Saccharomyces cerevisiae S288C: one gene and its partners. Changing the gene in region 1 together with any one later gene gives a genetic interaction. Each region holds a gene or a part of one and is shown on either strand. Other genes may lie near its edges. The genes, in order: GCN20, ARD1 and LYS20.

The links.
Region 2: mutations in GCN20 (region 1) and ARD1 together harm fitness more than expected from each alone (negative genetic interaction), as found in Saccharomyces cerevisiae (2 studies listed by BioGRID).
Region 3: mutations in GCN20 (region 1) and LYS20 together harm fitness more than expected from each alone (negative genetic interaction), as found in Saccharomyces cerevisiae (2 studies listed by BioGRID).

What each region holds. Positions count from the first base shown.
Region 1 is NC_001138.5:156,247-164,300, forward strand, and holds the start of GCN20 (putative AAA family ATPase GCN20), read left to right. Parts: upstream 1-6,241; coding exon 6,242-8,054. Other genes in the region: YFR006W (putative Xaa-Pro dipeptidase), read left to right, coding at 1-1,506; YFH7 (Yfh7p), read left to right, coding at 3,053-4,114; FAR7 (Far7p), read left to right, coding at 4,289-4,954. UniProt on the Saccharomyces cerevisiae protein: Acts as a positive activator of the GCN2 protein kinase activity in response to in response to low amino acid, carbon, or purine availability.
Region 2 is NC_001140.6:130,230-137,896, forward strand, and holds ARD1 (peptide alpha-N-acetyltransferase complex A subunit ARD1), read right to left. Parts: upstream 1,218-7,667; coding exon 501-1,217; downstream 1-500. Other genes in the region: retromer subunit VPS29, read left to right, coding at 1-219; SPO13 (Spo13p), read left to right, coding at 1,818-2,693; MIP6 (Mip6p), read left to right, coding at 4,325-6,304; YSC84 (Ysc84p), read right to left, coding at 6,652-7,667. UniProt on the Saccharomyces cerevisiae protein: Catalytic component of the NatA N-terminal acetyltransferase, which catalyzes acetylation of proteins beginning with Met-Ser, Met-Gly and Met-Ala.
Region 3 is NC_001136.10:130,360-138,164, reverse strand, and holds LYS20 (homocitrate synthase LYS20), read right to left. Parts: upstream 4,729-7,805; coding exon 3,442-4,728; downstream 1-3,441. Other genes in the region: AIT1 (Ait1p), read right to left, coding at 626-2,269; INH1 (ATPase inhibitor), read right to left, coding at 2,729-2,986; MRX19 (Mrx19p), read left to right, coding at 6,332-7,294; 60S ribosomal protein eL41 RPL41A, read left to right, coding at 7,681-7,758. UniProt on the Saccharomyces cerevisiae protein: Catalyzes the aldol-type condensation of 2-oxoglutarate with acetyl-CoA to yield homocitrate. Carries out the first step of the alpha-aminoadipate (AAA) lysine biosynthesis pathway.

The DNA of each region.
Region 1 (8,054 bases):
ATTTTACAGCCAGAGTACAAAGATAAGTATTATTACAGTAAAGAAAAAGGGGAAGAAATGGGCGAGGTAGCAAACGTAAATGAAATTCCGGTCAAGATAAGAAATCATAAGTATCCTGCGAAAGAACATAACTTGAGGGTTAAAGATTTGTTGTTAAATCGCAATCCGAAGCTATCAAAGATATCCACAGCATTTTTTATTGCTGGTGAAGAATTAGAGGGAAACAAGTATTGTGACACCAACAAAGATTTTAGACAGAATAGATATTTTTATCATTTGTCAGGTGTTGATATACCTGCTTCGGCGATATTGTTTAACTGTAGCACAGATAAGCTGACATTGTTTTTGCCAAACATCGATGAAGAAGATGTCATATGGAGCGGTATGCCTTTGAGTTTGGATGAGGCAATGAGAGTGTTTGACATTGATGAGGCCTTGTACATATCTGATCTGGGGAAAAAATTTAAAGAATTGCAAGACTTCGCTATCTTTACAACCGATTTGGACAATGTTCATGACGAGAATATTGCAAGATCACTAATTCCTTCAGACCCTAACTTCTTTTATGCTATGGATGAAACTAGAGCAATTAAGGATTGGTATGAAATTGAAAGCATCAGAAAAGCTTGTCAGATTTCAGACAAGAGCCATTTGGCCGTTATGTCCGCGTTGCCCATCGAACTGAACGAGTTACAAATACAAGCTGAATTTGAATACCATGCAACCCGTCAAGGTGGTCGTTCTTTGGGCTATGACCCCATTTGTTGTTCTGGACCGGCATGTGGCACTTTACATTACGTCAAGAATTCAGAAGATATCAAAGGTAAACATTCCATCTTAATTGATGCAGGTGCAGAATGGAGACAATATACAAGTGATATCACCAGATGTTTCCCAACTTCAGGCAAGTTTACTGCGGAACATCGTGAAGTTTACGAAACCGTTCTTGACATGCAAAACCAAGCAATGGAAAGGATTAAACCTGGTGCTAAATGGGACGATTTACATGCACTGACACACAAGGTTCTTATTAAACATTTCTTAAGTATGGGTATTTTCAAGAAAGAGTTTTCTGAGGACGAAATCTTTAAAAGAAGAGCTTCTTGCGCTTTTTATCCCCATGGACTAGGGCATATGTTGGGGCTTGATGTACACGACGTTGGTGGTAATCCAAACTATGACGACCCAGATCCAATGTTTAGATATTTAAGAATCCGCCGTCCTTTGAAAGAAAATATGGTTATCACTAATGAACCAGGTTGCTACTTTAATCAATTTTTGATCAAAGAATTTTTGGAAAAGCACCCCGAAAGATTGGAAGTTGTCGATATGAGCGTATTGAAAAGATACATGTATGTCGGTGGTGTTAGAATTGAAGATGATATCCTTGTTACCAAAGATGGTTACGAGAACTTAACTGGTATTACTTCTGACCCTGATGAAATTGAAAAAATCGTTCAAAAAGGTTTGAAGAAACCCCGTTCAGGTTTCCACGTAATCGTTTAGGTATTAACTTTTTTTTACTCGCTTCTAGAAGTTTAGTATATTCTTTTGTACACAGAATTGTATATTTTTTTTATAATCTTGGATTCACCATTTAACTAGATTTGGAAATATAAGGAATGGCACTGAAAAAATTAAGGACCAACCCCGAAGAGCAAAAAATGAATGCGAATTCTGTGGATCGAACACAGGACCTCCAGATAACTTGACCGAAGTTTTTTCTTCAGTCTGGCGCTCTCCCAACTGAGCTAAATCCGCTTCTATTTATGAAAAATTCATTGTTACAGGAACTATAGGACTATAATAACTAGCTGCTAACACCTTTAAATGTGACTTTTCTCATAAGGAAATCTAGCGATTCAGAATTCGAGAATTTTGCAGATTGCAAAGTTTTCTTTTTACCATAATATTTGAGAATGTTGTAAAACTTGAGATAATTATTCGGATGTCATTGTTGATTGAAGATAGCATTCCTATGAGTCGCCCTCGAGGACTTGGATCGAAAAATCTACATAATATTAGTAATTACTATTATTGTTGGAATTGGATAAACCGTCGTCCACCTATTTGAGAAATAGGTAATTATTATATGAGTTATTTGGTTCCTTTTTGTTAAAGTAATAATTTGAAATGCCATCCATTTGGTAATATTCATGTTATTGGCATATTATCATATGCGGTTCAGGAAGATGACATAAAAGTTGAGAAACAGTTATCAACCCTAATGGAAGCTGAAATGCAAGATTGATAATGTAATAGCATAATGAAACATATAAAACGGAATGGGGAATAATCGTAATATTATTATGTAGAACTACCGATTCCATTTTGAGGATTCCTACATCCTCGAGGAGACTTCTAGCATATTCTGTGTACATAATATTATGGTCTTGATCAACAATGCAATCCCAACAGTTATCAAATTATTCAGAAAATTGATCACATTTTCGATAAATCTATTATGAAAGTAAAATTTTGACTCATACCTAAGTTCTCGTTATTCGTTAATCTTATGAACTCATTAACCTTGGCGTTTCAGCATCCGCTATGATTACTAGTGCTTAAACCTTGTTATTCATGCCTCATAATTGATGCCATCTTCTAACCTCGAGCGTGATAAAATTTTTGTAATATGAACACCAATCGGCGGAAGATCATCCCAAAGCCACATATGATGGTGCCTTATAACATTAATAACAACTTCAACTGCTGCATACCGATAATATCTTGACGATTATGCATTCGTGTCCTGATAGCTAATGCCATGAAACAATTCTTTTCAATCGCACTTGCACCTTCGTGAAATAGAAGGGTTATCTGGGCTTATCAGACTTGTCCACAGTTTACATATAATTTTTTTTCTGTATTAAATTTTGTGAGCTTTCTTTTTACTCAAACGAACTGTGTTATTTTTCGTTCATTAAATGCGTACCTTTAAGCATCATCAAGTATTGCTCTTCGGGAAAAATGAAGTAACCTTGTTAGGTTAATTTCACTAGTACTATACATATTTTATCCTGTATCATACCAGAGGATCATTCTAGCCACAATGGTCGATACGCATAAACTAGCAGACGACGTTCTTCAGCTATTGGATAACCGTATCGAAGATAATTATAGGGTTTGTGTTATCCTAGTCGGTTCTCCAGGCTCCGGTAAGTCTACTATTGCGGAAGAACTTTGTCAAATTATAAATGAAAAATATCACACATTTTTGTCAGAGCATCCAAATGTTATTGAGGTTAATGATAGGTTGAAACCTATGGTTAACCTAGTAGACTCTTTAAAGACGCTCCAGCCCAATAAAGTAGCTGAAATGATTGAAAATCAGGGGCTGTTTAAAGATCATGTTGAGGATGTTAATTTTCAACCAGTCAAGTACTCAGCCCTTACATCAAATAATGAAGAATGTACCGCAGTAGTTGCCAGAGGTGGTACTGCGAATGCCATAAGAATCGCAGCAGTTGATAATCCAGTCAATGTTAACAAGTTGGCCCAGGATAGTATCAATATAGCGCAAATAGTCCCAATGGATGGTTTTCACTTATCTCGCAGATGTCTAGACCTATTCAAAGACCCACAAACTGCCCATAAAAGAAGAGGTTCGCCCTCAACGTTTGACAGTAACAATTTCTTACAATTGTGTAAAATTCTAGCCAAGACGTCCCTATGTAAGGTCTCCTCACATCATAAATTTTACTCCACTTCAAGCGTTTTTGAGAAGTTATCCAAAACTTTTAGCCAAACAATTCCTGATATCTTTGTTCCAGGATTTAACCATGCACTAAAAGACCCAACTCCAGATCAGTACTGTATTTCCAAATTTACAAGGATAGTTATACTTGAAGGGTTATACCTACTGTATGACCAAGAAAACTGGAAGAAAATTTACAAAACATTAGCTGATACGGGAGCACTTCTTGTTTATAAGATTGACATAGACTATGAGGCCACCGAAGAAAGGGTGGCCAAAAGGCATTTGCAATCAGGGTTAGTCACGACTATTGCAGAAGGACGAGAGAAGTTTCGCAGCAATGATTTGTTGAATGGCAGGGATATAGATAATCATTTAATTAAGGTAGATAATATCGTCCATATCCGCAACGACTAGAAGGTTAGGCGGAACCTTGTATATATTTTTGTAAAATCGAACTGAATACAGATAATTAAGGCGCGCAAGCAAAAACGGCATTCTTTATGAACTCTGCAGAGGTGCCCTTTATTACGACATATATGGGAAGTAATACATATTGATTCTACAAGAAGTTCAAGCCAAGGTTTAGATATGAGTGACCAAATCAACGTTTTGTCAATGCAACAACAACAACAGCAGCAGCAGCAGCAGCAGCAAGTATATATGTCTCCTCAAGCAGAAAACTTGAATCATATGTACTTGTTAGTTAACAAGCTAGTGAAACAGTTGAGGGAAAATCAAGCAGAAAAGGCGAAAATACTAAGGAACATAGACATATTATCCGGAAGCTTAAACAAGTATGAGACATCTGAAGAACCTCACGATACCACGGAAAATATTGCATTATTTAATAGATTTCTAGAACAAAGAGGGAAAGCTCCTATTACTGAGAAAGAGCAACTAAGCAACAATCTGGATGAAAATGCGAAAGATGACGTTATGCTAGGAGTGTTGAAGCGCCAAAATTCAATGCTCCGGAAAAGTTTACAGGAATCCAAGCAGGTAACCCTTGAATCCATGGATTTATTGTCTTACTCCGAAGACTCTTTAAATTACATTGTCGCCCAATTAAGAGGAAACATTCTAATGCATCATAAAGAGACTATCAAATTGATTAGGCAGAAATTCCAGACGGAGACAATTCCCCTCGAAGATGAAGAGTTCAAGATGTATTTGGAAAATGTTAATGGTCTGCAAAAATTGACAGATATATCTCACACTTATAGATTACTACTGAGGTTACATGCACAAGATTGAAACTTTGCCCTTTTGCTTCCAATGAAAGCAAGATGACAAATATACATGCTTCTTATATTCGAGATTGCGCAAAAATTCGAAGCTCATTTATGAAGGCTTTTTCCATTCTGATATATGTTTATGAAATTGAAAAAGTAACGACGGTGGAACATTTTGCGGGAAAACAACTCACAGAATGTCTTGACGTTCTTTTCCTGCAGTTGCGTGCGTAAGATATCCTAAGCTACTGTATTATTTGCCAAAAATAATAAAATGTTGGAGGAAAGCCTCTATAAATACACAGGATATATATGTTTAATAAACATATATAATTTCCTCAATATTTGCAAAAGCATTTTGTTGTGATGAGAGTCGATTATCGTTTACCGATTAGTATCTATACTATTAATATATTTTCATATAATTAGTATAATCTCATATACGCTGCCAGAAGATAACATGAAAATTAAGAAACAATCATCAGCTTCAATGGAAGTTGAAGTGCAAGGATAAATAATACTATTTAGAAATATGGATTTTCCCTCGTTGACTAGAAGATCTGTGAAGATTGGGTGAATAGTTTAATAATTATTGGATCCCATTATTGATCAAGGCTATAATACTTGACTATTTGGCGAATTTTGAGATAATTGTTGGGATTCCATTGTTGATAAAGGCCATAATATTATGTATACAGGATATACTAGAAGTTCTCCTCGATGATATAGGAATCCTCGAAATGGAATCTATATTTCTACATACTAATATTACGATTATTCCTCATTCCGTTTTATATGTTTCATTATCCTATTGCATTATCAATCCTTGCACTTCAGCTTCCTCTAACTTCGATGACAGCTTCTCATAACTTATGTCATCATCTTTACACCGTATATGATAATATATTGATAATATAACTATTAGTTGATAGACGATAGTGGATTTTTATTCCAACACACTAATTATCATTCGTTACATCTCAAATTGGTTAGAGAAGTTACAAACATTATTATTGATTTATCCAAGGATAGTTTTCACAAGAAAACAAGCGCAAGTGGTTTAGTGGTAAAATCCAACGTTGCCATCGTTGGGCCCCCGGTTCGATTCCGGGCTTGCGCAGTTTCTTTTTTTTCTGATTTTTATTTTTTTGTTCCTGAAAATTTTTCGTATTATTAGATCTAGTAGAAAATGAAAGACATTTGAAAAGAGAAATATATATTCTGCAGTAAGCTAGCTAAGACTAGTCGTTTTGAAGCGCTAAAACGTTAACTTCGATTCATAGCACAAAAGGTAAATAACTTTTTTGAAATGGCAAGCATCGGTTCGCAAGTGAGAAAAGCTGCTTCTAGTATTGACCCTATCGTCACGGATTACGCAGTGGGCTACTTTAACCACTTGTCCGGAATAACTTTTGATGCTGTTCAAAGTAAGCAGGTAGATTTGTCCACTGAAGTGCAATTTGTGTCCGATTTATTGATTGATGCGGGTGCGTCAAAGGCTAAAGTTAAAGAACTATCGGAAAGTATTTTGAAGCAATTGACTACTCAACTAAAGGAGAACGAAGCCAAATTGGAATTGACCGGTGATACGTCCAAGAGATTACTTGATATTAATGTCTTAAAGAGTCATAACAGTAAATCCGATATCAACGTCTCATTAAGCATGCTGGGTGTGAACGGTGACATCGAACATACTGGTAGAAAGATGGAAACAAGAGTTGATTTGAAAAAACTGGCCAAGGCTGAACAAAAGATCGCAAAGAAAGTCGCCAAGAGAAATAACAAATTTGTTAAATACGAGGCTTCTAAATTGATCAATGACCAAAAGGAGGAGGATTACGATTCTTTCTTTTTGCAAATCAACCCTTTAGAATTCGGTTCATCCGCTGGTAAATCCAAGGATATCCATATTGACACTTTCGACTTGTACGTTGGTGACGGTCAAAGAATTTTGTCCAACGCCCAATTGACTCTAAGTTTTGGTCACAGATATGGTCTTGTGGGCCAAAATGGTATTGGTAAATCTACTTTGTTAAGGGCTCTATCTAGAAGAGAGCTGAACGTCCCCAAACATGTTTCGATTTTACACGTGGAACAAGAGTTAAGAGGTGATGATACAAAGGCTTTACAAAGTGTGCTGGATGCAGACGTTTGGAGAAAACAACTATTAAGTGAAGAAGCCAAGATCAATGAAAGATTAAAGGAAATGGATGTATTAAGACAGGAATTCGAAGAAGACAGTTTAGAAGTTAAAAAATTGGACAATGAAAGAGAAGACTTGGATAACCATTTGATACAGATTTCTGACAAATTAGTCGATATGGAATCTGACAAGGCTGAAGCTAGGGCAGCATCAATCTTATATGGTTTGGGGTTCAGTACGGAGGCACAGCAACAACCCACTAATTCCTTTTCCGGTGGTTGGAGAATGAGATTGTCCTTGGCAAGAGCCTTATTCTGTCAACCAGATCTTTTGTTGTTAGATGAACCTTCCAATATGTTGGATGTGCCATCCATCGCTTATTTAGCAGAGTATTTGAAAACATATCCAAATACAGTTTTGACAGTTTCTCACGACCGTGCATTCTTGAATGAAGTGGCTACAGATATCATTTATCAACACAACGAAAGACTAGACTATTACAGAGGCCAAGATTTCGATACCTTTTACACCACAAAGGAGGAACGTAGAAAGAATGCTCAACGTGAGTATGATAACCAAATGGTTTACAGAAAGCACTTGCAAGAGTTTATTGACAAATACAGATACAATGCTGCCAAATCACAGGAAGCTCAATCAAGAATTAAGAAATTGGAAAAATTGCCCGTTTTGGAGCCACCTGAACAAGACAAAACCATTGATTTCAAATTCCCTGAATGTGATAAATTGTCTCCACCAATTATCCAATTGCAAGACGTTTCCTTTGGTTATGATGAAAACAACCTATTATTGAAAGATGTTAACCTGGACGTTCAAATGGATTCCAGAATTGCCCTTGTAGGTGCCAATGGTTGTGGTAAGACTACACTGTTGAAGATTATGATGGAGCAGTTAAGACCACTAAAAGGCTTTGTATCAAGAAACCCAAGATTACGTATAGGCTACTTCACTCAACATCATG
Region 2 (7,667 bases), on another chromosome or scaffold:
GGCACTGCTGGGGAACGTGAGAATGAGAATGAAAGCAACGTTAAGCCTGAAAACCAATTTAAGGAAGACGAGGTTGATATGTCAGATTCGGATATAAATGGGTCTAATTCACCAAGTTTCTGCCTCTTGGATATTCAAGGCAATACCTGCACGTTATACATTTATTTATACGTTAATGGAGAAGTGAAGGTCGATAAAGTGGTTTATGAAAAGGAATAGGGTAGCCATTTTCATTTTTATGCATTTCTATGATGTCTAAACATTAGATGCATTCGTGAACTTTTTCTTGCAGACGAGATAGATGTAATTAAGATATCCTATCTGCCGGATATTACATATATAAAAAAAGAAAGCTTGCATGCACAGTTTCCTTACTATTCATGCTCACACAATTCTACCGAATTAGCACTGCAGTGTTTAGAACCGTGCTCAAAAAGAGCTAACAGAGCTTGTGAAGAAGCCTGGATGAAAATATACTACGTTTATATAGGTTGATTTAATTATACAATGATATCATTTACGCCTTGCTTAATGATATCCTCTAGTAGATCGCTTTCTAGATCGTCTTCTAGTTTTTCCTCATTCTCTTTCAAACGGCGATGGGTGAAGTTGCTTATCTGCAACTCCTCTAATTTTAAAACCTTCTTCATGGCGTATGCATCTTCACCATCCTGATAGTAGCTTTTCTCGATACTCAACACCTCAAACGCCAATGTGTCCCTGTACAAGTGTAAAGCTGCTCTATTAGATTGTCTCACATGCAAGGAAACATATTCCGCTTGATGAACTTCTCTCAACGCAAATAAAGCTTGTCTCATTAAGTTTTCGGCAATCCCCATCCTTCTATAGGTTCTCATGACACTTAAGGAAGTAATATGACCATTTGGTGGCTCGTTTTGCTGGTCGGGGTCGTCGTTCATCTTCACGAGAACGTATCCAACTAATTTTTCGCCCGGAGCCAAGTATGTTGGATCCAACTTGATTGTCCTGCCGTCATTGGTCCCATCTAAGGTCAATTCCAATTTGTCGTTCTCATCTTGTTCATCACTATCTTCACAGTCCAAAGTGGTGGTAGTAGCAACAAACGAAGCCTCTGGCCACGAGAGAATATGATACATATAATATTTCATCATATAATTTTCGGGTAGGTTATGAAGGTTGGCATTTTGCATACATATAATGTCATTGATTGTCGCTCTGCGAATATTAATAGGCATGGTTGACGAAGTTTTATTTTGGAGCTTGATCGTATGTATTTAGGTTTCCCTTTTCACTTGGCAATTACTCGTTGCTGACAAAAGGTTTCAAACTTTTCAGACGGTGCTTTTTTTTTCTGTTCAAAAAACCAATTGACGCGAGAAAGTGAGGATTGAGCCTAGAGATCAATAAAGACAAATTAGCATTGGATGCAATACTACTAAAGCAAGCGCTTTAAGAGAAAATATTTGTCCTGGAAGTCTCATGGAGATTATACTTTATGAATTCTTTATCTCCGGGCAGAAGGCACTTCAGCGTATCATTTGTTCCATGATATTTTCTGAATAAACTTCAGAATTATAATACACAGTATTTACACATCTAATTTTTGACTACAGTATAATATTCAAGCTTCTTGATTTACCTGCAGTTATGCTTAAATTCACATTTGAATTCTTTAGTATCCGTTTAGCTAGTTAGTACCTTTGCACGGAAATGTATTAATTAGGAGTATATTGAGAAATAGCCGCCGACAAAAAGGAAGTCTCATAAAAGTGTCTAACAGACAATTAGCGCAATAAGAAGAAAGAAAACGGATTGAAGTTGAGTCGAGAATAATTATGGCACCCAGAAAACGCTTTAGGCTACTCGAATTAGGGTCACCAACACATTCTAAAAGGAAAGTTCAAAAACCTCTTCAAGAGAAGACCCCAAACTTGCGAGTTTCTCCACTTGCTTTTAAAATTGGTAAAGAAATCAAGAATAAGGAAATCAGAAAAACAAAAAAAACAGAATCAGAAAATATATTCAATTCGAAACATGTCGATTTAAGACTAGAAAGCCCACATCCAGGATTAAATTTTGTAAGTGATGCTCAACAGTACTCAAAGGCTGGAGATGTTCGATATTTGAAAAATAAATCAAGCAATACCTTGAAAAACGAAAGACAAACAATAGAGCGCCCCTCATTTGATAATTCCTTAAGGTTCGAGGACATTGAGCAGCCTCCAAAATCTACTTCAACGCCGGTTCTTTCTCAATCTTCTCAAATAAATGTAGAAAGAGAAGCACCCATGTTTCCAGTTCCTTACTATATTGCTCCTTCTCCTATGTATAATTTTAGCCCGTATCAAAATTTCGTTGGAAACCCAACGTTCCTGACGCCAAGTCATAACCCAAACCTAAACTATGCCATTCCCATCCAACGGCCGGAGTTGCTTTATCCGAATGTTAACGTATACGATTCGCCATTGTTTAAGAAAACAAGACTGCCCCATCAGACCAAAAGTCTAGATAAAGAAAAAAATTACCAATATCTTCCAATATATCCGGTCTCGATTTCTAATAACGGAGATTTTGTTGGCCAAGAGACACCAAGGGCAGCACCAAAGTTAAGTAAAAAGAGACTTTCAAATACATTGGATGTTAATTGTTCCGATTATGAGTCTAGTGGACAAAATGCAACTTATAATGATAGTGAGTCTTCCCTTAATTAAAAAGATTAGTTTACTTTTTCTGTAGAATGTTAATTAGTTTATTGCATAGAAAATCTTTAATACTGAATGACAAAATTTCCACAATTTTTTTTAAAAAAATTATCGACAACTGCAGGACTCGAACCTGCGCGGGCAAAGCCCAAAAGATTTCTAATCTTTCGCCTTAACCACTCGGCCAAGTTGCCACTTATTATATAAGTCGTAAGCATAATATCAGGATCTTATGCCTTAGTATAAGTCAATTGAAATTGCAATCCTTGTATGTTTTATATTAAATTTTGGGTGAATAATTGGATAATTGTTTGAAATCCATTGTTGAAGAAAGGCTATAATATTCGTACACAGAGTATACTAGAAGTTCTTCTCGAGGGTCTTGGAATCCACAAAAAGGCGTCGATAAATCTCCATAACTATATTACTTTATCCTATTACATTATCAATTCTTGCTTTTAGCTTCTATTGTATTTGATAAAATATTTCGGCTTCTTTTATGTGTATGCGATTGCGTATTACTAAATATAAATTTATATTTCCTGCGACCATTTGTCCGTCAGAAAAGGCTCTCAAAAAAACAACACTACCCTTTTACCGGAAATCACAAACTAAATGTTAAAATAAGAATTTAACATCATCCATTGATTATGAATATTGAGTGAATGATTTAATGATTGTTGCGATTTCCTTGTTGGTGAAGGCTATGATATCAGCTATGCAGAATATACTAGTAGTTATCCACCAGAACATAAGAATCCTCAAAATGTAATTAAAAATCCACTATCGTCTATCAACCAATAATTATACTATCAATATATTATCATATACGGTGTTAGATGATGAAATAAGTTATGAGAAGCTGTCATCGAAGTTAGAGGAAGCTGAAGTGCAAGGATTGATAATGTAATAAGATAATGAAACATATAAAACGGAATGAGGAATAATCGTAATATTAGGTTGTAGAAATATAGATTCCATTTTGAGGATTCCTAAATCCTCGAGGAGAACTTCTAGTATATTGTGTATACCTAATATAATAGCCTTTATCAAAAATGGAATCCCAACAATTATCTCAAAATTCACCTAATTCTCAGAATCTGTATTTCGACATAAGGTTATTATGATTATTTCTCCTTCCGTTCTATATTTTTCATTACCCTATTACATTGTCAATCCTTGCATTTCTGCTTTCATTAGAATTGATGACTGTTTCTCAATGTTTATGCCATCTTCTTACAACTTATTTGACAATAAACTAGTAGCGTGAGTACTAATAAACGGATGATATTTTGAAGTTTCATAACAACAATCAAAATTTGATGTATTTCATTAAAAATTGATTGATTTTGGGTAATGCAAGGATGACGTATTCGATCATGATTTTCAGATCGACCAGTAAGTTCCGGTCCTATAGTGTAGTGGTTATCACTTTCGGTTTTGATCCGGACAACCCCGGTTCGAATCCGGGTAGGACCTTTTTTTGCTAAAATGAACTTGTGTCACAAATTCCGTTCGAAATGGCGGTCCTTTTCCAATAAGTTTTCTTTTTATGGCATTTTTAGCAATTAGAGCTTACTTAACATAATGAATTATCCAAGTCAATAAAAGCAGAAATACGAAAAATTCCCTAAAAAAAGATGCCAAACTCTCATGGTAATGTATTGAATAATATCTCTTTAAATAGCAAGCAAAATCCCAGATCGATTTCTAAAAGTTGCCCAAATGATAAAGATGCAAGGCAGAAAAGCTTCAAAACGATATCAGCCCAAGCACTAGTACGCGTGCAAGGAGCTGGATATAAGCTCGGTGATGTGAAATTAAAGGATGCTGAAGTCAAAGAAAAGAATAGCCTCAAAAAATACGATTGTAAAAATGCAACTCAAGAAAAGAAAGAACAAGAGCAAGTATTTGAAAAAACTGTTGCAAAGGGAAGCGTGCAAAAATATATCACGAAAACTTCAAAGACAAATAGTTTGTTTATAGGAAATCTGAAATCAACTGTCACTGAAGAAATGCTAAGGAAGATATTCAAAAGGTATCAATCTTTTGAATCTGCTAAAGTGTGTCGTGATTTTCTCACCAAAAAATCATTGGGTTATGGCTATTTGAATTTCAAGGATAAAAACGATGCAGAATCTGCAAGGAAAGAATTTAATTATACGGTTTTTTTTGGTCAAGAAGTTAAAATAATGCCATCTATGAAAAATACATTATTTAGAAAAAACATCGGAACAAATGTTTTTTTCTCTAACTTACCACTGGAAAATCCCCAACTGACCACAAGATCATTTTATCTAATAATGATCGAGTACGGAAATGTACTGTCATGTCTTCTAGAAAGAAGAAAAAACATTGGGTTCGTTTATTTCGATAACGATATTTCTGCTAGAAATGTAATCAAAAAATACAATAACCAAGAATTTTTTGGAAATAAAATTATATGTGGATTGCATTTTGACAAAGAAGTAAGAACTAGACCTGAATTTACAAAAAGAAAAAAAATGATTGGCTCCGACATAGTTATCGAAGACGAACTATTGGCTAGCAATAATTTATCAGATAATGCTCGTTCGAAAACAATATTAGTCAAAAATTTACCATCTGACACAACACAAGAAGAGGTCTTGGATTACTTCAGCACTATTGGCCCCATAAAATCTGTATTCATCTCTGAAAAGCAGGCGAACACACCACATAAAGCGTTCGTCACATATAAAAATGAAGAAGAATCTAAAAAGGCACAGAAATGTTTGAATAAAACAATTTTTAAAAACCATACCATTTGGGTTGGTCCTGGTAAAGATAAGCCTGTTCATAATCAAATTGGAACGAACAAGAAAACAAAGGTTTATCTAAAAAATTTAAGCTTCAATTGCAATAAGGAGTTTATTTCTCAACTATGTTTACAAGAAAAAATAAGATTCAGTGAAATTAAGATCACAAACTATAACTCATTAAATTGGACATTTTGTGGACATGTTGAGTGTTTTTCTCGTAGTGATGCTGAGAGATTATTTAATATTTTGGATAGGAGACTAATTGGAAGTAGTTTGGTTGAGGCATCATGGTCAAAGAATAATGATAATATACTAAATGAGATAGACTATGACGATGGTAACAACAATGAAAATTATAAGAAATTAATCAACATTAGTTCCATGATGCGTTTCCGCACACAAGAGTTATCAGCTCATCAAAAGGGATTAACGTCACAGTTTCAACAAGTAGTTTCCCCATTCTCATCATATTCAAATTCCTACACAAACATGAACTCTCTCGTAGCTACGCCGATGAAACCTCATCCAGCATTTAATTTAATTACAAATACTGTTGACGAAAAACTGCATCAGCCTAAGAGAACTAAACAGGAGAATGCAGAAATACTTGAGTCCTTAAAAAAAATTATAAACAGAAATTTACAACGTATAAGTATTTCTGGTTTAAATAAAGAAGAAAATCTGCGCAGCATTTCCGAGTTTATTTTTGACGTATTTTGGGAGCATGACTCAGAAAGGCTATCGCACTTTTTATTAATGACAAATACTTCATTAGAATCACAGAAAATTCTACAAAAACAAGTCACTAGAGCTGCTGAAAGCCTCGGATTTACAGTTTGATTCCTTTTAAAGGAAGAAGGCAGGTTCATCAATATGCAATTTTCGGTACAAAAGTACGTATGTCTATAAAAATAGAGTATTGTTTTCTTTGCTATCTTAATCTACCCAGAATTATTCCAAGGAGTTTCAGCCTCGATTTTTTTTTAGTTTAATGGCGTATAGTCCAGTTTCAAGAAATACTCCACCTACTAAGTGAGTACTTAAGAAGTGGTTCCTCGAAGCTTTCCATTGTGATTATATAACTACAAACATTTCGTAAACATAGCTGAATAAGGAACCCATCCTCAACTTCATAACTCTAAAAAAAAATTCTATATATAGGAACGAGACATATGGAGGACGATAATTTAAGAAACTCTAACGTAGTTTGCAGGGAATATTCCTTCTTTTCCGTTAGTCCTGCCTGTCCACCAATCATTTTGAGAATCTGATTTTTTTAAGATAGTAATAACATCACCTTTTTTGAAAGCCAAGTCGCCTGGTTGTTCTCCAGCAAAATTGTAGAGAGCAACAGCCGTTGGTGTCGCCGAATTTGTAGCAGTGGATTCATTACCTAACCCTGTCTTCGACATTTTATGTGATAAATCATCGACATTGCTCATATTGCTGGGGTGAGTTGGGCCATGACCAAGGCTATAACCCCTTTCTCTACCATAACCACGCCTATTTCCTCGGGTATTATCATAATCCCTACCGGAATGGTTGGGACGGGAGTATTCAGTATCTCTATCATACAAATCATCTTCCCATCGGGTATTCGCACGCGGCTTAGTACCCCTATCTATCTGTGGGCCTCTATTGCGGCTGCTGTTTCTATTTGGAGATCTTCCGTAATCATAATCTTCATCTTCGCTATCAAAATCTCCATACCCGCGACCACGTCCGTAACCATCATCATCATAATCATCATCATAACGACTGCGTGACCCCAGCGACATTCCTCTTCTTCTTGATGATCTTGTGTTTGGACGTGTTGAGGATTCATCAGTAGAATCAAAGGAATCTGGAATATCGTCGTAATAATGGCTTGTGTTGTCGCTGTATTGACCGTCATCATAAAAATCATCACCGCTAGCGTTGTCATCATGGTCGTGGCGTGTAAAGTTGAACGCTCTTGATTCCAAGATACGGAGTAGGGGGTCTGCTGCTGGTGGAACTTTTACTCTACCTGACAAAATCATCTTTGATGTACAGTTATCGCCGTAAAACTTTCGATTAGCTTCCCTTCTCTCCAAGATGGCTGAACCTTCCACAGACACACCGGCAAATAAACCTTTGCTTTTGGAATAGGCAAAAACTGCCGAGACACCACCTGTGGATGCAGAAGCTGCAGCTTCTGCACTTCTTCCAAGAGGACCTGCGG
Region 3 (7,805 bases), on another chromosome or scaffold:
CTGACCGCAAGCTGCCCAAATGCTTAAATACAGAAGCAAAGAGACACATATTTACCACGTTGCATGAATGTCCAAACTCACTGCACCGTTAAACAGAATTATAATAAGCAAGGCTTGACTACTTGTCCCTTGTAAGATTATCTACTTGAGCTGGTTTTTTTTTAGTGCAGCAATAAAAAAAAAAATTAGTGACGCTGGTTTCCGCGCAGCGCTAATTTAAGAATTTTCAATATTGCCAACAAATTTTATCTTGGCAGTTATGAATGGAGGCCAAATTGTAGCATACAGTGTGAGCTCCATATTGCCAACAAATTTTATCTTGGCAGTTATGAATGGAGGCCAAATTGTAGCATACAGTGTGAGCTCCATATTGAATGATGCATGATCTATTTTCTTTTGGACAAATTTCTACCTTGCATAACCTTTGATTGATGAACCACTGATGTAGTTAAACTTTTAAAGTAGGGTTAAAATGTCCCTTTAATATATTTTTATAATTACTTACAGATTGTTGTTCTTATGTAAATTTTATTATTAAGCTCCACCTCCCCTAAAGTAAAATGGATAACATAAAGATTTTTCAAGATATGAACACCCTAATATGTGCACGGTCGTTACTTATATGCTATATATAAACTGTTGAAAGTATTCCCGTTACAAAAACAAGAAGACTCCAAGAAACCATTACTCCAAGTACAAAAGAATCATTTCTTGCCAAAGCCCTCCAATTTTTGACTAGCTTCTTGCAGAATCTTAGTAAAGCGGAGTCGTTGGTCATATCATCATCATCCCCATTTAAACTACCATAATATAACGTCGTATTACCTAACAACTGGCCTGAATTCATCCCGAAGTGACCCGGGCTGCTATTTATTACATCAGGACTATCCATCGAAATGTAATTAGCACTCAGTGGATGTTGGTACTCTTGATTTGTAGCTACTCTCTTACTGATAGTATTTTCGTCGTCGTCCTCAAACTCCCCCTGTGAATTATTAAACCAATCGTCTAGCTCTCTTCTTAAATATATCGAAGTGTTGATGAGGAAGTTTAGAGATATGAAAGGAATTATTACGCATAAGATGAAATTTGAAATGGTTCTTGAGCCGAAGTAGTTCACCACGGGAGTAAATAATCCTTCATGGCCGCGAACATAGACGAAATACATCGACAGAATCAATGATTCCCCAATTGTCAACATGATATTACTACCAACTACCAATATCATTAACAATAAACCGGTGACCAACTGGTATGCCGTGCTAAATGCAATAAATCTCTTTATCGGTGTGAAGCTTTTAGTAGTATTTTGTGTATTTTCATTAGGAACTGCCCATGTATAACCAAAAGATTTCTTCAAAATGGGCTGTTCTTCGTCTATGGGGAAACTCAAATCACCCGTATCTAGAGTTGTCAACTTTAATGAATTGTCGATGGGGTTCATCATGATAATTGTATCGTCCTGCGAATTATCTGGTACATGCAGCTGCTTCTTATTTTCATGAGGTTGCTGTCGTATGCTGCCATAAGTTGATGACGATGAACGTAGAGGTTTGATTGGATGGTACTCAGACGAGTATACGTTATTCGATATGGAAGATGAGTCATTTCTTACTTCAATACATTTGGACAACGTAATATCACTTCTGTCTACGACGTTGGGGCGATATTCTGTACTACAACCGCAGTCATCGTTATGGCTCATATCATTATTGTTACAGTAAGTGTTGGCGCTTTCCTGGTGTGTGAAGCCACTATTAATGTTTGGATCGGCGATTTCTTGGTAGTTAAACAAATTCCCTATTATGCATATGGTGAATTCACCCAGGGCCCATGATATACCAAAGATATAGGCTTGTCTTGGAATGATGTGCCAAGAACATTCCTTATGCTTGATCGTACCGCCTTCGTGATCTTGCACCTGAGGGTACGCTAAACCAATCAGTATCAAAAGCATAAAGACGTCGTTGATAGGAAAATCCACTATCAGGTTCAATATTAAAAACCTTTGATTTATATTGAATAGAAAGGTCTTCAGGAAATAATAAAGAAATGGTGAAAAAAGCCCCAAAAGAAAGGTCCTGAAATAGTCCTGCGAATTTGGTTTGAACATCAATGGATCATCATACTGGTGTAGCAGTAATTCGGACGACGCATAGAATAGTGAAAACAGTGAAATACTAAACAGCGCAGAAAGTATCACTATGTGAGGCCTTGTGGAGCAGAAAATAGGCATAAAATATGATGCTGCATGATTTAATCGGACCATATTCAGATATATTTCACAGGTATCTTTCTTTTGTGTAAAGAATACGAGGTATGATTTAAAACGTCAAAGAATGGAAGAGAAATTTTGAATGCGAAGAGATGCTAAGTATATTCTTGGTGTTAGGCTAAGCTTGTTGAAACAAAAAAGAAGGAATTTTGAAATTTCGTATCTTAAGTATGGACTATTGACGTTATTTGGAACTTTTCCATGTTCCACACTGTTCCTATCTTTCTATGCCTTTCCGCATTGGGACGAACTTTGCGCGAAGTGGAAATAATGAGTGACATTAGTCAGACAGACAAGAGGAAAATTCAAACCAGAGGAAAACTAGAATGATAGTTATCGAAAATGCAAAAGCTCAGTGTGATGTATTATTATATAGTTTTTCTGCTGTTTGACTATAAAAGAGTAAGAATATTCTAAAAAAAAAAAAAAAAAAGCTTCTGCGGAAACGCATGATTATTTGGTCATCGAGTCAATTTTATTTTCCAAAGAATCAATCTTCTTTCGTTGTTTTTCCAGTTGTTCTTTCAAATGGCGTAGTTGCTCCTTCTCACGCTGCCTAACGAAGAAGTCTTCCGTGGCCCTTTCCCTTTTAACAAACGAATCCTCTGAGCCTGACCCTCTTGGGGTGCCGGTAGAACCTTCAGAGTAGAACCTTGCGGCCACACCGCGCTGTAATTGCAATGAGCGTGCTAATGCTGAACGTGGTAACATATTCTATTGTGGAACTGTATAAAAGTGTGCTGTAGTAATGCGTGTAAAATGCACTCCTTTGGGATAGCAAAAACAAATTCAACCACGAACAAATTCAAAGAAAGTTTTAAACAAGATACAACAAGTCAAGTTATGAACCCCTCCTTCTCTAACGATTGTTAACGCCTTTTCTAGCCCCAAAACCTCGTTGCAGTGGAAAACGATGGGTGTCAGCAACTAGACAGTTGATTGGCATAATTGTGAATATCTGGATATTTGGTACCCGCAGCAGCCTCCCCTTATTCTGCCGCGAATGCGCGCGTCTGATTGGCCCGGCATCACGGGAGAGTAAATCTTCTTCTTTTAATGCGTATCGGACAAAGTAGATGGGAAAAAACATCATTTAGATATGTAGATGTAGATGCTATATATCGTATGTAATAAGTGAAAGAACATAATGTAATGGTTTGGGAACGTTAGGCGGATGGCTTAGTCCGCTTGGCGGCGGGGATGGTGGCCAGTTCCGGTACATCGCTGTCATTCTTCTTGTTCTTTTTTGCAGATAGTACTTGAGGAGTGCTGACCTCTGCGTGGAAGTTCTTGATGATAGAGTCAACATCATCGATATTCAGCGATCTGACATCACCCAGCTTCTTAATCTTAGCAGTAACTTCCTTGATTTGGTCATCCGTCAAGTTCAAGTTCAACTGGTCGACTCTGGCTTTGATGGCGTTCCAGCCAGTTAGTCTGTTGGCGAAGTGGATATACCTCTTCATACCGAAATCGTGAGGGTCCAAGATTTCGTAGGTAGATGGGTTAGCCAAAATGGCCTTGGCATGGATACCTGCTTTATGTGTGAATGCACAGAACCCGGTGATAGGGTTGTTGAATGGAATGTTAACTTCCACAGCATCAGCGACCAGGTTTTCAATGTCTCTGATCTTGTGCAACTTGTATTTGGACTTGACATAGTCTGGTGCGGCAACAATCATTCTTGCCATGAGCCCACCTAGAGGAGTGATACCGTTTCTTTCACCAATACCCAGTACACTGACGTCAATCAATCTGGCACCACCTTCCAAAGCAGTGTAGGCGTTTGCAATGGCACAACCAGTATCGTTGTGGAAATGGCATTCGATGTCACATGAAACAACACTCTTCAAAGTTCTGATCAGTTCATATACTTGTCTTGGGTTGGCACATCCAACTGTGTCGGCAATACCGACTCTATTTACACCGATCTTGTCAACGGTTTTATAAATGTTCAAAAGATCAACGAGATCACTTCTGAAGGAATCTTCAGAGGAAAATCTGATTTCAATACCTTTGGATTTGACAAATTCAATGACTTCAACAGCACTCTTGGCGATGTAGTTCATATCCTTACCGTGGGAATATTGTCTTAAAAATTTGGAGGTGCCGATAACGACATCGACACCGTCGACACCAGTCTCTACGGCGACTTTGGCGTCATCCATATGACAACGAATGTGTGTAAGGATCTTGGCCTTTAAACCTAGTTTACATATAGCTTCACAGTCCTTTCTTGATTGTTCAGATGCTACTGGTGAGGTTAACTCGATGTAGTCCACACCGAAATCGTCCAAGGCTCTAGCAATTTCGATCTTTTTTTCAGTATCGAAGAATGCGTTGGCAAATTGTTCACCTTCTCTCAGCGTCGAATCGATTAACTGGAAATTATTTACATTAGAAAGATAGTCGCCCGGTTTGGCAGCATATGGATTTGGTTTAGCAGCAGTCATCTTTAGGAAAACAATACAGGGTCCTTCCTTTGTTTGTTATGTAGATAAGAAACAAGAATAAACTAAACGGGAACATATCAAATACACTTTATCGATAAGCAGCCAATATCATTTATATATATCATCATCGGGTATTTAAGCAGGTGTAAAAAATGGCCAGCGATGAGGCCCTTAAAACTTGGTAATAATATTACTCACGCATCATCGTCAGCAAGAACCTAAAGCGCAAATTAAATTATTGCCTATTGCTCTAATGTCGTCGTCGTCCACTACCGAAGAGAAAATTCCCCAGCAATTTTGGTCATATTTTTCAACCATGAATAAGGGATAGTGGGACAAGGCCAGGCCATTGTGACATTACTCATTTTTTTGCCACTTGCAACGCTAGTAACGCCGTATCCACAGAGAAACCGGGAGTGGCGCGAAGAGATCTTTTTTTTCTTTTACTACGTGTGATCCTCTAAAGAATTCTTTTTCTCAACCTAGCAAAGTAACCCACGCTTAAACTTCCTTGCAGAGAGTTCCCGTCGGAATTTGTTTTTTTCTTACTAAAACTACGCAATATTCCGGCGGAATTTGACGCAGACGTAACATCAGTCATCAGTTAATTTAGAATAACGATGAGCCAGCTGATCGGGTACTGTGGACGGAGTTTATAAGGAAGAGAAAATGCTGAGTGCATTAGTCATAAGAGAGGAGCGTGATCTGTAATTCCCTCTGCCTGTGCGGATCACTTCCTACAATTTATTTTGTAAAAGAGAGCACGTCTGTAGTTTCAAACAAAATCACCAACTGTGCTTTGTTCGAATACCCAGGGAACTGTTTGTTCGTCGAATCGAGATAATAGCAAACAAGAGTCTCGGTTGAGTAAACGCTCATAGACAAGAAACTAGGAACATGGCTAAAATCTTGCATCGATGTAACATTAATATAAATAGTTTGCAGCAACCGATTTACACAAAAACTGAATCTCAAGCGCACGCAGTATACCAAATTTGGTTCCTAGAGTTTTTTATATGGGCGGCTAACCTTGGAGAGATCAAAAAAGTGTACTTAACTACGAATGACATTTTAGAGGGTTTCAAGCGTATTATAATGAGATAATCTTTCAGCTGGTAGCAATTATGGTCTAATAATTTTTCGTTTATTCGGCCCTCAACCATTTGTTGAGCTTATACCGATTTAGAGCCCATAAAACGTCGTGATAATCCGCAACTTCCACGCTACCACTTTCCACCATCTATCAAAAAAAATAAGAAAATTACCATGTGTAACAGCTCCTTCCATAATTTGAAGCAGGCTGTGTTTATTCAGTTCTTCGTTTGTTTTTCTTACTTCAACGCTCCTTGTTCGATAGCTTTATTTTCTTGTTTTTCCTCCACTTTTGGATGGATGGACTTGACGGCTGTCTCCGCCGGGGAGTAAGCATCGGGCATTGTGCCAAGATAGTATCTAAAGGGTGTGCTATCTGGCACAGTTTCAGTTACTAGTTAGCCATGAAATTTTTCCTTTTCAACGTAGCAGTATCCATATCATTGCTCTTCATCGATAGAATCATTTTATCACAATACCAAAACTTCATCCGGTGTATTTTAGATTAAAGATGATACGTTCAATATTTATACCGCCAACTAGTATAACTGCCACTTCTCGACTGTTCTACGGAATGAGGGCGTATTCAACAAAACTTGAAAAGGCTTCACTCCAAAAATATCTGCATGATCCTGTTAAAGTGACTGTGATACCAATAACGGACAAAGAATCATTCATTTACTATAAGCATACCGATAATCTCTTTAATAGTCAGTCTAGAATATTAAAAGCAGAAAAGTGGATCGTTGAGAAATCAGCAAAGCTTTGGAGAAAACTGAAAAAGTCCCCTAAATCGTATAATAAAAAAATAGTGTCCATGGTGCAGTCTCTGTTAAATAGCACACCCTGGTCAGAAAATAGTCTGTTAACCATACCAAGTGAAAGCTATATATTGAAGAGAATTAAGGGAGAGAAAGATAAGACCCAAGAGATTCGACTCACATTGAAAGATTATACCGTAAAGGCAGAACAGGTCGATACTCAACCCTTACACGTGTATTATCCCCCTGGAATTTCTAGCCCTGATGAGTGCTTGAGACAAATGAAAAAGCTCTACCAAGAAGGCTTAATTTATCACAAAAAATGGACTTTATATTGCCTTTTAGGTCTCCCGCTGACAATTCCTCTAATTTTAATACCGCTTATACCAAATGTTCCAGGGTTCTACCTATCTTATAGAGCTTATGTTAATATCAAAGCTTACCTTGGTGCTAAGCACTTGAAGAGTCTACTGGAAAGTTCAAAACAAAATTTAGAATTCAGGGAACTGTTGGGATATACGGAAGTATATAAACGTGGGACCAGCAGCCGTACGCAGGGCAATCAAAAGGAATCAAAAGGTGCACCAGAATTACTACTTAACAAGAAAACCCTTCCGTTGATCTTAGATTTCTTAGAGGTTCATGAACTAGAAAGCGACTTGAACAAAGTCATCCTTCAAGAATCGAAATCTCAAGAGAAAAACAAAATTTAATGTAGATTGTCCACTATCTCATGTAAATATACATAACAGGTATTCCTGAGCGTTCGAAAATTAGACTGTACTTTTCTGATGCGCTCCCGTACACCTTTGACATATACAAACATCCGCACATTTTATAGCTTTCTTTCTAGAATTTTTTCCACGCGCTCTCGATCAATGAACTCTTAAAAGTAACTGACCCCTAACTTTTTCCCAGGCAAGGCTGGCCTCATTACCCTACCCGAAAGTTTCACTTTTCCCCATGGCAGATGGACGATATTTTAACAAGACGAAACTGACCTCGTCTTCTATAAAACTGGACTTCTAAGCAACTCTCATTTATCTTATATCCGTTCCATTTTGTACTAAAAGAACCAGACCACATCGATTCAATCGAAATGAGAGCCAAGTGGAGAAAGAAGAGAACTAGAAGACTTAAGAGAAAGAGACGGAAGGTGAGAGCCAGATCCAAATAAGCGGATTATGAGTAAATAACTCTAATTTTGTTTTAAATTCTTTCAAG